Linked DNA regions of Struthio camelus. The protein of the gene in region 2 purifies or fractionates together with the protein of the main gene of each other region. This does not show direct contact. Links are inferred from orthologs where the notes say so. Each region holds a gene or a part of one and is shown on either strand. Other genes may lie near its edges.

Region 1 (7,807 bases), on a different chromosome or scaffold from region 2:
CCAAATATCAAACACAATTAATCATTTGCTGATGACACTTTAAATATTTAAAGTTCATGTTATACTAGCTATTCTTGCAACTCAGGTAAAATCAATAGCTTATTCTAGCTATTAAGTGCCCGTTATAGTTGCGCAGACTTGCTGTGTCTCATTGAATTATTCTAATTTCAAGTGCATCGTTAGTGTTACCTTTATAAGTAACTCATCACTCTCTGTAGACTCCAACTTAACTTTAAAGGAGCAGCATTCAGAGGAAAAGAACTGAAGGTAAAGGCAAGATGTTGATGCGCTGGTGCACTGTAAATGTCATATGACACTCTTTGGTGGTGAGGGGGGAAGGTGGGAGTAAGTCAAAGGAAAGTTGAAGGTTATGCGTCTGTTGAGTTTCTCTAATGTATTGGTGTTCTGTACGCTATAGATACTAACAGCTTCATTGGGCGAGGTGGGAGAAATCGCAGCTATGCGGGTAGCACAAATTTGAAACTTTGAATAGGATATGTCTTTGGTTAGAGTTAAACAAACATTACTTGAAATGCGTAAAGCAGCCCAGAAGGTTTATGCACTTTTTCTGTTAAATGTGTTTAGGTCTCCTGAGACCATTTCCAAAATCTCACAGTCCATTTGATGGCTTCAGCAAATGTCATTTACAGGTTAAGGGCTGTTGGAGCATTTTGTACTGCAAAGATTCTAAGAAGTAATGCAGTTGAAGTAATGAGCATTAATGGGATCAAAGTATTACTATTTCGAGGAAGATCCTAATGCAGTGGTAAGATCAGCATGAACAGCGATCATTTGAAGGTAGCGGGCAGTTGCTTCTCCTAGTTTTGTGGAATTTTGTGCTTTCAATATGATCAACTATTTGCCTTTATTATATGGGGCACATACATTCAGAATCTGCAGTTCCTTAGGATTCTGGAGTTTGTGTGCCAATTTTCAACTAACTGAATTTTTAATATTAAAATCTTAACCCCTCTTTTAAAAGAGGTGTTTAAGGTGGAAACACTTGCTCAGTTTGAGCTATGGAACCATTACAATCACACTCTGCAGAAAAGGACCTGGGAGTCCTGGTGGACAACAAGTTAAGCATGAGCCAGCAGTGTGCCCTTGTGGCTAAGAAGGCCCATGGGATCCTGGGGTGTGTTAGGCAGAGTGTTGCCAGCAGGTGGAGGGAGGTGATCCTGCCCCTCTCCTCAGCCCTGGGGAGGCCTCACCTGGAGTACTGTGTCCAGTTCTGGGCTCCCCAGTACAAGAGAGACATGGGGCTACTGGAGGGAGTCCAGCGGAGGGCTACGAAGATGCTGAGGGGACTGGAGCATCTCTCCTCTGAGGAAAGGCTGCGAGAGCTGGGCCTGTTCAGCCTGGAGAAGAGAAGACTGAGAGGGGATCTCATCAACGTGTACAAGTATCTGAAGGGGGAGTGTCAAGAGGATGAGGCCCAGCAACAGGACAAGAGGCAACGGGCAGAAACTGAACCACAGGAAGTTCCACCTGAACCTGAGAAAAAACTTCTTCACTGTGAGGGTGACAGAGCATTGGAACAGGTTGCCCAGAGAGGTAGTGGAGTCTCCTTTGCTGGAGATATTCAGAACCCACCTGGACATGATCCTGGGAGATATGCTGCTTGAGCAGGGGGGTTGGACTAGATGATCCCCAGAGGTCCCTTTCCAACCTCAACCATTCTGTGATTCTGTGATGTGCAAAAACCAGTTTTCTGAGCTTATTATTTAAAGTCCACCAAGGTGGCAGAATGCCTGTCTGATTTGGGTGGTGGGGTCTGTCTTCTGTTCATCTCTCCAGAAAATATATCCGGGAACAGACTATATTGAAAATGTGTATGGAAACACAAGGTACAAGGTGGCTGCCATAAGCTCGAGGAATGGGGCCATCATGTCAGAATGATGACACAGGTAAAGCATCATAGCAGATGCAGTTCACACAGATGCTTAGCAATTAACTGTGTACACATTGTTACCGTGCATGCTCTGTGCAGTGTCGTGTCACTTGTGAAAGAGCGATGAGGAGTACAGATTTGCACAGGAGTTTTCTGGTAGTTCCTTCTCACTGGAAATCACATTTCTTTTTTTCCTCACTCCACAGATTTTATAAATGAAAAATTTATCAACAGTGGCTGTGCAGGAACGCTTGATTTCATTTTAAATAGGTTAGCTACGTTTGAACATCAGCTTGAATTTTGTTTAGTTGTGCCATATTCAGAATTAGGCCTGGATTGTAGTAAAAATTGCAGTGTGAATCTTTGAATGGATTGTCAGATCTGCTTTGAAACTCAACTGGAAATATGGCATAATCACCATAGTGAATGATCCAACTGTCCAACCTTAGGGCAGCCTACATCTATGAATAAATATCCATTTTTAAAAGCAGCTTGATTTGTATGCATCCAGCCCTGGCAGGTATTGCATCAGATGAGTTTTGTGTCAAATGAGCAACTTCTACATATGTTGCAGTGTCATTTTTGTAGAAGCTAGGTGACCTGAGACTTTCTCTTTCTTGCTTTCAGAATGCCTCTAAACACAGCTTTTTGCTTAGCTGGGGACAATGCAGGGATCAAATGACCCTTGCTAATTCTGCCCACATCTTACAGTCGCACTCATTTTTCACTCTCTTGTTACCATATTGGTCTTGTGTTTGCTCCCTGCTGGCGACAATTAATAACTATAGAAAGCAACTCTGTCAGTTGTACTAGTCGGTACAATAACAGCCTTTTTACTTTTTCTGTCAGTGCAGTTGGTTGGCTTTGAAAGCTTTATTGATGATGTTTGTAACAGTTTTGCTTGTGGTAACAGCTGTTGTTTCAGACTGACATTTCATCTTTGTTTTTGTAGGGAGTATGATCTTTCCCATTATCATCGTGCTGCTAGAAGCCATTTTTTTCTCCGAGTAAATTCTCGTTGATTTAAGTGACAATATGGTTAGATTAAGGACTCTTTCCCAATTCAACTTCTCTCCTCTCTGAAGGAGGAAGTCCTGCACTGTGAAGACAGTTCCCGCAATAAGAAGCGCTGAGGCCTCCCTTCGTTGTCTTTCCACGTGATAACCAGGGCAGAAAAGCAGCCTCTTTTGTGTTTGTATACCAGGATTTACGTACCAGTTTGTCTAAAGTAAGGGCCAGACTCATGCCAAATCTGCCAGAGGGCTTTTGACCCAATATTTATTAAATATATAAATCCTTTCATACCGTTGCCTTGTAGACCGAAATGGAAACGGTTTGTCTGCAGAAGGCATATAGGATATTTTCTGATATGCCTGGACTACTGCTGAGTTTGGAAACGTGGCCTGCTGGGCAACCTTGTCGCAGAGGGCAGTTTGTGCCATCAGTCTGAAACAGCTGTCACAGTTTTGCTGCCATTGAAAATGCCTGTAAAGCAAATCACCATTTCCGTGTTTAATTCAGTGTAGGAGTAAAATGCACATGGATAGGAGTGTCTGACTGTTTACACTAGCAAGACACTCCAGACTCAGTTGGCTGAGTCTGTCCTTCCTGCGTTTTAACTGCTCTGAAAATTGCCTACCTCAACTCTAATTCATCTGGCCTCAAAAAATTTTTTATAGATTGGGTCTTGCTGCAGCCTGCAGTACTTTATCTCACGTTATTAGAAGTGCTTTATGAAAATAATCTCTTTACTAAATTCCTTTAGTGACTAGTTCTCTCAGCTGCAAATGAAGTGCCTCCTGCCATCATGCTATGGATTAAAGATTTCATCGTTCTAAATTTAATCCTCTTTTCTTGGTTGGTTTCCACAACGAGGGGTGGAAAAAATAGAGAAGGGGGAGGTTTGCCTGGTGATCCAGTTACTTACAACACAAATTGTAAAACGGTGTAGGTGTGGGACTCAGTTTCAGTATCCTTTCAACATCCGCCAGCCCATTTGAGTGAGGCTTCTGGCTATGTAGAATAAGCAGGTATCACTGTTGCCTCTCTTTCAATAACCATGACATTGTAGTAACTGTTCCGCTGTCAAAAGAGAGTATGCCACTATTTTCTTTTTCATACCTGGAGAGAGGTGGTATAGATCATATTTGCGGATGGAATGAGCAATGTAATGTGGTGTGTTTGGGACTCAGGATGTGAAAGCACTGTTGAGACAGAGATATACCTCTGAAAGGTAGCCAATTCTTCTGTCAGTCCCTTGTTTATTCCATTGTATGCAGAAATAAATCTCTCTGAAGTTTAGGATGCAGAAAAAGATATTTCTGCTTGCGTGCTTTTGTTGCTTACAATATCTGTAAATAATCGTAGGATGTAATAAAATTCTGAAGAAATCAGCACAAGCAAATGAGCCTTTTACAAAAATTACTTGAAGGGCGTGTTCTTTCCTTTCTCTTGGCAAGCTTATGTATGGCTTCATAGTTCTTAAAACTGCGAAGTCAAACAGTTAATAATCCTCTTCTGAAGATGTAGAAGGTGACAAACATTATATACTAATTGATATCCTGAAAATAGTCTTCAGTCTCATATTTGTGTTTGTGTCATTTTTTTTCCCCCCCATTAAGCATGAGACATGCTCTGGCAAAAACAGGTTGTGCCAAAACAGGCCGGAGAAGGACACTGATTAATCCATCCAAATGGAATAATTTACAAACTGTAAACCCTGCTCCAAGTTTGGCATGTGGAACATGTAGTATAGTTGTTTTTCTCTGTTTTCTTTTTCAGTCTGGGATTATTTTATCAATTAGATAATTTTTAAAAAATAATCCTTGGCATAAACTAATGCACGGGGAGCGATTTGGATGGTATTTTAATTTTTGTAATAATTTTTTCATCAAGGTTTCTACTGCTTGGCACAGCAAAAGTGAAAATGACCATTTCCCGTCCCTTCCACTTCACTTCAAGGGCTCCTTTGGGTGAGGATAGTCATGGTAAGAGTAAAGAAAATGATCCCACAAGGGCACAGTTTTCTAGGTGCTTGTATGTGAAATCTGGGCCGAGATTGAAAGGGTTTACACAGGAATGGTTTACACAGGAATTAAGAACTGCCTGAGTTTTTCTTAAAAGTAGTTCACAAATTGGGATTGTTGGATCCTTTCAGTAAGTTACTTTTGAAATAAGATGTTTATGCAACAGAGGCACTTCTTGTTTTTCATTCTTCGACGACTTTGATTTCAAAAGTTGCTGATGCTCACTTAATTAGAAAGGTCTCCAGAGTCAGATGATGATGATGATTAAAACTTGGCATTCAGTGCTTTTTAAAACACTAATCTTCACAAGATTCTCTGTAATTAGGTAAGTATTCTCCTGACTTCACAGGGAGAGAAACTATAAGGGTCCAAACCTGCTTCTGTTTGGAGTCGCTGTCAACTCTTAAGGCTTTTAATAGCAGAAGATCAAGCCCTTAAGTGATTTGTTTAAAGACAAGTAAGATGGTGGGAGAATTTGATTGGATCTTAGATGTTCTTGATTCGCAGGCACCTGGCTGACAGCTCAAAACGTCTTGCTTGACATTTCAGCTTTTTTCACTTCAGTGTTTATTTTTAAAGGTCATCAACTTTATATATGACTTTAAAGTAAGTCGGGTTACGCACCTAGTATTGAGCTCTCTTGACAGTCTTTGGTTTTGCCATCAGTGTTTTTATTTCGACTATCTCTGTTGCTGATACAGTCCCACATAGATAAAATGGGAGAAAAACGTGGAAACAAAACAGTAAGGTGACTTCAGATACTGTCAGAGGCGTAATAAGGAAACTGAGAAACAACTGAGGTGCGATGGTAAGAAGGACTCTAAGTAGAAAGGCTGAAACATGCAGATGGAGGCATGCCTGAGCTTTTGGATGTTTGTTTCATTGGGGGTGCTAATGCTTACTCAGGCTCTGCAGTAAGTTCCCATCCCAGTGTGAGGGGCTGAGGAAGCTGCTGGGGAGGCATTTCCATGCCCTGCGGCCAGCAGCAGGTCTGTGACGGGAAAGGGAAGTGTCATATTCACCTCCTGTACTTCCACCCCCAGATGCATGCACATAGTAAACCTGACTCTTCCGGTGGATGAATGAATTGTTGGTCCATGTGGACTTTCAGCAGTCAGGACACATCTTGCTAATAAGTAGGATTTGGGCTCTTGAGAATAGCTACAAAACAATTTAGGTTTCCCCCTCTCCTAATCTCCACCTATTGAAGGCTCCGTGGTTACTTTTCTGTGGCTGACCAGTATATGCCAGGTGATTAATGACTTCCGTCTGACACGTGGACAGGATTAGACAGTGGTGAAATAAGTCTTTCTCCTCCTATTCTTGCTTTCTGCTACTTTCCACAAAGGAGCAAGAGGGATTGCCTCAGCAGAAGCACTGGTTGTATTTCTGCCTTTACCAATTACCTTGCCTTTGGATATATGTCTGTGTTACTGAGTTGGAGTGCAAAAATTGTTGTCTGGGGAAAGGTGATGAAAATGCATCTAAAACATTCTGGGAATAACTTGGGCAACTTCCTGAGAATTTATTCTTAGCCTTGTTAATCAAAATGATTGCCAGTTTAACATCACTTCAGTGAATAGATTGTATCGAGTGCTACTGCAGCACATTTGCTCTGAAAGGCACCGGTTCAGTAAATTGTTTAGGGGATGCCCAGCTTTAAGCAGATGAGAATTTGCATTGGATTCAGACACAGAGAGTTAGGCACGTGCCTTAATTACTTTGAACAGACCTGTCAGCATGGCAAGGAAAAGTGTGACTGCAGTGCGTACACCTAGACATGCCAGCTTTAGCTTACTAAATGTGAGATCTCATTGCCTTAATTTGGCAGAAGTCTGTAGTGCAGGAAGATGCAGTTTTCCTGATGCTGTTTTCTGAGTGCTGCACGGTCTGCCTGGAAACTGATTTTCCTTTTTCTCTTTCCCGCTGCCACCCCCTCCTCACCCTTTCTTGTTACTGGATTAATTTTCAGCCTAAGCAGTTCCATAACCTGACTGTCTGTCAGCTCGACAAGCACAGTGCAAGTAGCACAGGTAAACGATGGGGATGAGAGCAAGACAGACTGCTGCAAGGCTAACGTGGCCGTGGGACTGTGCCCAACTAACATAAGCAGTTAATACTGAAGATATAGTAGTAGTATGTGCACGTGCAAGTCTGCAGAGGATTATGCCTCTTTGGTTTGAAAGTTTCTGCCAAAGCCTCTGCTACCAAATCTTTGCTTCTGTTGACACTCGCGCTAACTTTCCTTTCACACGCCAAACTAGGTTACGGCAGTCATATTTGCATTAGAAGTACACGTGTGTGAGGGTTGTTAACTTGTGGTGCTGATGCAAGGAGGTTTGGTTAAGAGGAGAAGAATTTTATTAAGATTCTGTGCAAATGATGTAGCTGTGTAACATGTATCACTTGCTTCTTACAGTAACCGAAACTTAGAGAAAGTACCGTGATGCACAAAAAGTGATCAGCCTGGATTTGCTGTTACAAGCATGTGCCATGTTTTTTTATTGTGATGAAGCTTATTTAAAATGTAAATAGAGTTGACATCATGTTCTTTTGACCTAATTCTCAGGCTTTTGTATTATTACCAAAATGATCTGGGATATTATAATGCACTACACTGCAGAATGGCACTCTTAGGAAAGATTGATACAGCGCTGGTGTTTGAATAGGAAATGGAGCGTGGCAAATTCTGAGATAATACTGTGATCTTCAAATGTGAAGGGTTGTATGCATAGCCCCTGGGTGGAAAGCTACAGCTGTAGTTTGAAACTAACCCTGATGAAAAGTGATTCTATGAAAATCAGTTATACATCTTTCAGTTACACATCTTGTTGGTTGTTGTTACATGAACATGGGATATCTTATTTTCTTTTTTTTTTTTTCTTTAAAT
Region 2 (7,348 bases):
ACATGATACTGCTACAAATTGGCAGATACTTCAAAAGGGCAGGGTCTGCTTTTGTTTTGAGAACAGGGTTTTGGAGCAACAAATACTGGCTCAGCACAAGACAGTAATCAAGTGCACACTACTGACTATGTTTTGGATGCATATGTACAGATCGAAAACATTTTATTATTAAGCATTAAGCATGTGTCACAATTAATCAAATCCCAACTTCACATAAGCCCAAAGTGTACCAAGAAGGAAACTGGATAACCTTGTTTTATTAATGTAGTGCTAGTCCAAAGTAATTGAAACATTTTCACTGTACTTATCCTGTAGGCACATGGATCGTATCTCTCCCCCATGGGTAAGCAGAGGATCAGACATTTTGGCAGAGGTTTTCCTCTGAACGTACAGATCAGCAAGATGGCAGAGGTGAGCTGAAAGGGGAGAAAAGGGATATCCCTTATTCCTTCCTTCCTCACCTACAGACCTGAGATGGGGATAAACTGCATAGACATCCATTCTGACAGAGATTCCCTTTTCCACTAGGCAGAAACGTAACCGTTTACACATAAGGTAACTATATTTCAGCAAGGCTTACCTCTGTGGAATAAGTGGCAACGCAAAGATGCTAGCGGACATCCTTCGGAATGCGTTTGGAGGATAAGCAATTTATATGCCTTGAGAAGAGCTAGGCACTGATCTGCACCAAAATCTTGAGGGAACAAAAAATACCATAGACTCAGTATGTGCAGCATGTGCACACTGATACCACTTTTGAATGCTACTAGAGAAAAAGGGAAGGGGAGCAATGAATCTGACAAAGGGCAATCTCCTGTACTGTCACAAACATGCTCAGTGAGGTAAAAACATACGTAGTGCAACGTATCTTCTAACAGAAGAAAAACAAATACATGAATATGAAGAGGCCATTTGAAGGGCTGTTAATCACAGTAGATATAGATGCACAAGTACAAGATGTTGCAGTGAGATGGACAACAGGATCTCCACCTCTGCTGGTAGATGGACGAACTACAGAATTTCTTAGTGTTTTTACACCAAAATGGAGCAAGACAGAAGTAGCACTGCACAAGGCTGTAGGTTTCATGATTTTGAATATTCTGAAATAGAAATTTCTGTATGCTACAAACTGTACACGTTCCTCCCATAATGTCTTTGATAATCCAAACAGTGACAAAACAGTGATTAAACACAAGCAAGACTAGAAATATCCCGGAAGTCGGATGCAAGACAAAATTTTAAAAATCAATCAAAAAGCGTGCCTATCACAAGCCGGAAGTTGAGTTTGCTGTTCTCCACCAAGACAAAAGGAGGCTTATCGTTAATCTGTAAAACTTGTTGAAGAAAAGCTTGCCATGAATGCTGGGGCTAAAGCCAGAACCGAATCAAAAGTAAGAGACCCTCAAGTGGCTTTGAGTAGAGCCCCTAAACAGACGAGACCTAACTTCAAATTATGAGATGTCCTCTTTGTTACAATGGAACTGAATCAAGATTCAACAAACATAATTTTCTATAGTGACATACTTTGTTTGAATAAGATTTAGCAGGATCGCAGAAAGGTCAAATCTCATCAGTCAGGGATAGCAGCTACAAGCTACTTTGGCCCAGGCTTTGCTAGTACAATTACATGTGAAAACACTGCTATTATCAAAGGCTATCTCATGGGGAGGCAGACACACATTATTTTGCACACACTGTCCATGCACATCCAAAGCTAAAGGAAAGCTGTACATGCAGTGGATGTTTAGATCACCAGTGCCCAACACTGCTCAGCTTATGAAATGCAGTTGGAATCTTCTCCTGCCAAATCACTTATCAAGTTAATAACATATTCACATGCCAAAAAGATGTGCAAGCAAAAGACGAATGATAAAAAAGGAGATACAATGGAAGATCATTTCAATAAAAATTGAAGGAAAAAGGAGAAATTAAAATTTAATTTGAAATATAAATCTACTGCCCAACAAATGCCCGACAGCGCACCTAACATGGTTTTATCATGAGAAAATATTGTTGAGGCTTTTAACATTTAAACAATAAATGCCATTTTACTTCTTTTCTTGTATTAACTTGTATTGACAAGTAAATGTACGTAACTTGTATGTTATAATGCAAGAGCGTATTTTCTATGGGTGGAAGAACGGCGCTGTGAGAAACACAATTATCACTAAGCATAACTTAGGAAAATGTTATTCTGTATGAAAGTAGCCACAAGCAACTGCAAAAAAAGTATCTTTATACTGCTGGCTTGGGTGATAGCAGCAGCTGAAATTACTGAGTTTGGCTCACTGAATGTTTTGGAGTGTTGGGAGGGGAGCACCAATATCCTGTGTGAGAGCCCCGTGGCACGGAAACAAGGGGAGTGAGTGTGGCAGTCTGAAATCGGATCATCTTTCTGGCTCAAGACTGCCTTCCACAGAATCCAGAGGAAACTGCAGGAAGAAAACTTTGGGGGTTTTCACTATCCTCTACAGGTAATTGTGTCTAGGAATATGCTTTGGCCCTCTATTAAGACCACATCAGTAGACAAAAGTCAAGAAATGCTAAAGTTATGAGTTGGACAGGACAGCATCAATCACAAATATTCAGTGATGAAAAAAGCTCCAGATGATCTTACAAACCTCAATACTTCAAAAATAAAAGTAACAAAAAACAGTAATTCAGTAGACAAGGTATTCAGGTTAGTTCATCAGGGCTTAACTCTGGTTTTAAATATTTGTTAATTCATTTACTGAATCATTCATTGCCTTATTTTATTCATTAATTAGTATCTTGTCACTTTTTTAACTTGACTTCTCTGTGTACAACACATCTGACAGGGATATTACAGTCTCTTGCAATGTTCATTAAGAGTCTCTAAAGAAGAAAATTTTCATAATGTGATAAAAGCATCACCAAACAATGATGAACCAGCTTGTTAATTTAATTTCTTGTGTGCTCTTTATTTATTCACTTGACATTACTAGAGACTTTGCACATGTTCCACATATAAGTTGTCATTAAATGTTTTTTCCGCAGGCTTTACATGCCTAATTAGTGTTTCTTTTTGAAAATCATTAGCCACTCCTCCATACCAGTGCTTTCAACTTTTCCCACAGAGCGACCTTATTTTCCAAGAACTTCCTTCCCATTGGTACACAGCATGTCATCCCTGTTCAGGAAAAAAAAAAAAAAAAACAGGATGCAATAACCTTGTATTAAATAGGCACAGCATTATTCATCTGCTTAAATTCAAAGACAACCTGTGTATTGCCTGGGGCCACAGCTTTAAAATACAAAAACAAATGTCCATGCTGTTGTTAAGGGCATGACTGCTATTGGATCCTGATTACTGTAGCAAAATAATATACAGCTGAAAATGGTAAACAAGTTTCCAGTTGAAGCCAATTTCTTTGGAAAGTGGATAGAGCTTTTCTAGAGGCTACAGCCTGCTACGCTCTGTGCCTTCAGGTAAGTCAGAAGCAATTGCAGTTTAGAACGAAACTTCTAGCAAACGTGTTCAGTCTCAGAAAGTCTTTGGAGATAAAGGTCACCCCGAAGAAGTGTATCAAAGCCCAAACTTTCTATACTTTAAGAATGGTTTATTTGGACTATTTGCTCAGTCATTTCTGCTTTTCACTACTAAAAAAGCACAAACGTTGTTATCGACAATAACAAATAAAAGACGTTTGTGGGACAAGAAGCAACAGGATTTTCCATACAGTTAAAGCCCTGTAAAGTAAGATTTATTAGCAAATAACTTACAGGGCTGCTAACGGGGCAATGTCTGTGGAGCTCAGAAATCACCCCCCCGAATTTTGCTCGCACACGCTTCTCTCCGCCTTAACCCTGGAGGGGTCAGCTGTCAACACGGTACGTTCACGTTAAACACAAGAAATACCTGCTTGCAAAAATAATTAAGAGTAGAAAGCAACCCTGCCTCTCGCTACCCACTGAAGGCGTGCGGTCCCAATCCGCCGCAGCATTTGCTGCCTTTCTGGGTTCTTCACCATCAGCTGCGGACGATGAAACCGTTGCAGCATGTCGCCGCACCTTCCTCGCGACCGCCGCCTCTGCTTCCCTGCAGGTCAGGCCGCGGCCCCGGGGATCGGCGCATCCCTCGCATCCCAGTCACTGCCGCTGCCCGCACACCGCTCACCTCCGCCAGCCGACCCCGCCGAGAAGCCTTCGCTCCTCCGGGCGGCAAGGACCGGAGCGGAGCGGCCCCGCCGGGCCCACACCCTCCCACCCCACCAACGGCCCCCCCGCCGCCGCCAACGGCTGCCGGGGTCACGTGCCCTCCACCGCCCCCACCGGCCCCTGTCCGCCCGCGCATGCGCCCTGCAGAGGCCGTCGGGCGGCCGGGAAGTCGGCGACCGTTTCCGGGTTGGGCGGCCGGCGCCGGGAAGGGGGCGGCGGCTGCGGCTTCGGCTGCGCTGCGACCACCGCCACGACCACCAGCACCATGTCGTGCACCCTCGTCCCCTTCGGCCACTTCCAGGACCTGGAGGCGGCTCGCGACTTCCTGTGCCCGCACCGCCGCCAGGGCAGCGCCGCGGCCGGCCGGGAGAGCGGTGAGTCCGCGCCGGGCTGAGGGGCAGCTGGTGTCGGCCCGGCCCGCCGGGCCGTGCGGGAGGGCGGCGGGGGCGAGGCGGCCCCCGGCGCGTCCCGGGGCGGCGCGGGAGGGGAGGGGAGGCGGCCGCGGGCGGCCGAGCGGCGTTGCCGTGCTGCGGCGGTGACGGGCGCCTGGCGCCAGGGCCGAGCGGTAGCGCAGCGGTTCTCCCTGCTCCCAGGGAGCTTCTGGTGGACGCCTGCCCTCAGGTGCGGGCCGTCGTCCTGCAGGCCGCGGGGGAAGGTCTTTGCCGGCGCGGAGCCTGTGTGCCGCAAGTTCTGCAGTTTTGCTCCTTAAAGGGCTGCAGTTTCTCTGAGGGGCTCCTGTCACAGTCAACAAGTGTTGCCCGCGTAGGCTTGTCTGACGGTGTAAAAGGCACTGCGAGTAAGGTGAACGTTTAGTTCGGGGGCCTGAAAAGTAAATTCGCCTCATGAGAACTGCAGTCTGAAGTTGAGGAGCAGGTTTCTGAGCAGGAAGCTGAGCTGTCTGGAGCAGAGGCTGTCTTCTGGACAGAAGAGAAGGACAGGCAGATCCATACACAGGCCGGACGCTGCAGGGCAATGAGTCACTGCCCTGCCTCTTGTTCGTGCAATGTGAAATTAACTGTATAGGCCAATATTTGCTTTTTTTGTTTGTTCTTTTTTTTTTTTTTTGGCAACTGTGTGGTAAATAAAGAGTTTGGTAGAGGCCCGTGGAGGTGCTTATAAAGACCTGTCAAGTATTAACAGTGCTGTGAGAGAAAGCAGAGAGGCTTACTTAAAGGGTGGATAGGAAAGAGGGGGAAATGGTGCAACGGTTGTGAAGGTGATGTAAAAATACACTTTATGTTCTGCTAGTTAACTTTACCAGTAAAAGTTTTGCATGAATATTACTATAACGTGTTTTATTGTTGTTTTCTTCTTGTGTTCAAGGTTGAAATCGATTTACTTTGTTGTTGAAATGCACTTGGAAGAAAGTAACTTCAGAAGAAGTTTATACAGTCAGATTTCATTGTCATACCTTAGATTATCCAAAACTTTTGCTAGAAAACAGTTATGTGCTACTTTGGTACATGTTGTTTTACTCCTGTAATGCTCTGAAAAATGCGTGCACTCTTGGTATCGTCTAAATCTAAAGGAGAGGTTTTGGAACCATTTTAGAAATTGTTAGTGTTTGTTGAACATTGAAGATAAAGGTGAAAGATGGTAACCCACATTTGTTTTCCAAAAATATGTGCGGAAGAAATTAAAATATTTCTCTCTCATTTGGCAGTGTACATGAGAATAGTCTGTGTTAAGTAACTTCTGCTGAATACTTTTCTTCTGTCAAAGTAGATCTATCAAATGGCAGCTGTAAAGAGAGAAAACTTTTAAAGTTTTGGAAGACTTCCAAAAACGAGAGGAGCAAAGAATGTTCTAAAATGTGCTGTTCTTCAATTTTAATGAGTTGGCTGTGTTCTGGAGTAGTTTTATATTTACTCATTCAGTCATTGAGGCAGACCAGTGTTGGAATCAAGTATTTTTCAAAACACTGCTCATTTGGGTATTTTCAAATCTTTCAGATTTATATGTTGTAATTTATTGATACTGCATGTGTGTGTTTTGTTGATACTGCAGGTATTTTCTTGGTTCAGGATAAATAAGCATAAATGTGAGTGAAAAAGAGTTCCCAAAGCGACTTTTATATAAGAATATAAACTACTGATGTTGAAGAAGAAATTGCTAGTGCATTCATCTTTGACAGGGAGAAACACTTCCAAAACTTATCTCTTATCTTAAGATACCTTCACAAGTTGCAACAGTATCTTTTAGTTAGGGGGGGAAAAAAAGAATTTGACTGCATGGGACGTTAAATCCTTTTCCTGTCACGCTTGTTTCGCCAAGTCTGCGTTGCTGCTACTTTGCTGCCTAACGAACTGAATAGTTAAGCTGCAGGGTTGTTTGGAACATCATTACGTTAAACTGAGCTGGTATAGATACTGCAGCCGTTGCTTGCCTTTTGGTCTTGAACTCCAAGCTGATTCAATTTAGGAAAACACAAGGAATGATCTAAATCTTAGAGGATCTGCTTTCTCTTGATGTAAATGAGAGTATGAAAAGCTGCTAGCTGATGATGCGTGTCAGGAGTTGCTGCTCTGGTTCATTAAGTTTTTCATTCTTTCTTCCTTTATTCTTTTCATCTACATATTATCCTCTTCACTTTTCTTATTAGTAAGCATCTGACTTCTTGCATAGCAGTCTAAAAATTGCTTTGTTTTGTCTTTAGTGATAATTGTATACTTTGGCTCTTACATTGTTCACGTGAAAGAACTCTTTGCTGGAAATAAAGAGTAACGGGAAGTTTGAGAACACAAAAGAATCCTCTGCCTCTAATGTTGTGCACCAGGAAAAGAAAACAAAACATTGTCCCAAGCAATAAAAAAAAAAAATGCATGTTGATATAACCAGAGCAAAGGCAAAGATTTTTAAACTAACAACATCTAAATAATTGTTTCCTATCAGAAAGCTTTATAAAAACTGCTCCCTTGGCAGAATGTATTGTTTTAAAATGATATTTTAATAAAATTTTACATTGGAAAACTTGGACTTTTATCTACATTTTTACTCTTTAAGGGAAAAAGTAGAGAGGAGTTTGCTTATATGTTTAACGGAAAATAGCTCACTTGCAATCACATACAGCTTCTATACTGTACTTACATAATTGCTTATATGTGAATAAATATAGCTTAATAAACACCAAAATTGTAATGAACCTACTCTTTTTGTTAAAAAAAAAAAA

The links. Proteins that work in one complex are often made in the same cells at the same time.
Region 1: the proteins of RAB3GAP2 (region 2) and VAPB purify together in Homo sapiens (affinity purification with mass spectrometry; 4 studies listed by BioGRID and IntAct, counting the BioPlex papers as one, with this or other methods). This does not show direct contact. The link is inferred for Struthio camelus from reciprocal best matches to the Homo sapiens genes RAB3GAP2 and VAPB.

Annotation. Positions count from the first base shown.
Region 1 is NC_090959.1:13,524,038-13,531,844, forward strand, and holds the start of VAPB (vesicle-associated membrane protein-associated protein B/C), read left to right. Parts: upstream 1-4,791; 5' UTR 4,792-4,817; coding exon 4,818-4,878; intron 4,879-7,807. UniProt on the Homo sapiens protein: Endoplasmic reticulum (ER)-anchored protein that mediates the formation of contact sites between the ER and endosomes via interaction with FFAT motif-containing proteins such as STARD3 or WDR44.
Region 2 is NC_090944.1:117,734,703-117,742,050, reverse strand, and holds the start of RAB3GAP2 (rab3 GTPase-activating protein non-catalytic subunit), read left to right. Parts: upstream 1-4,331; 5' UTR 4,332-4,444; coding exon 4,445-4,553; intron 4,554-7,348. UniProt on the Homo sapiens protein: Regulatory subunit of the Rab3 GTPase-activating (Rab3GAP) complex composed of RAB3GAP1 and RAB3GAP2, which has GTPase-activating protein (GAP) activity towards various Rab3 subfamily members (RAB3A, RAB3B, RAB3C and RAB3D), RAB5A and RAB43, and guanine nucleotide exchange factor (GEF) activity towards RAB18.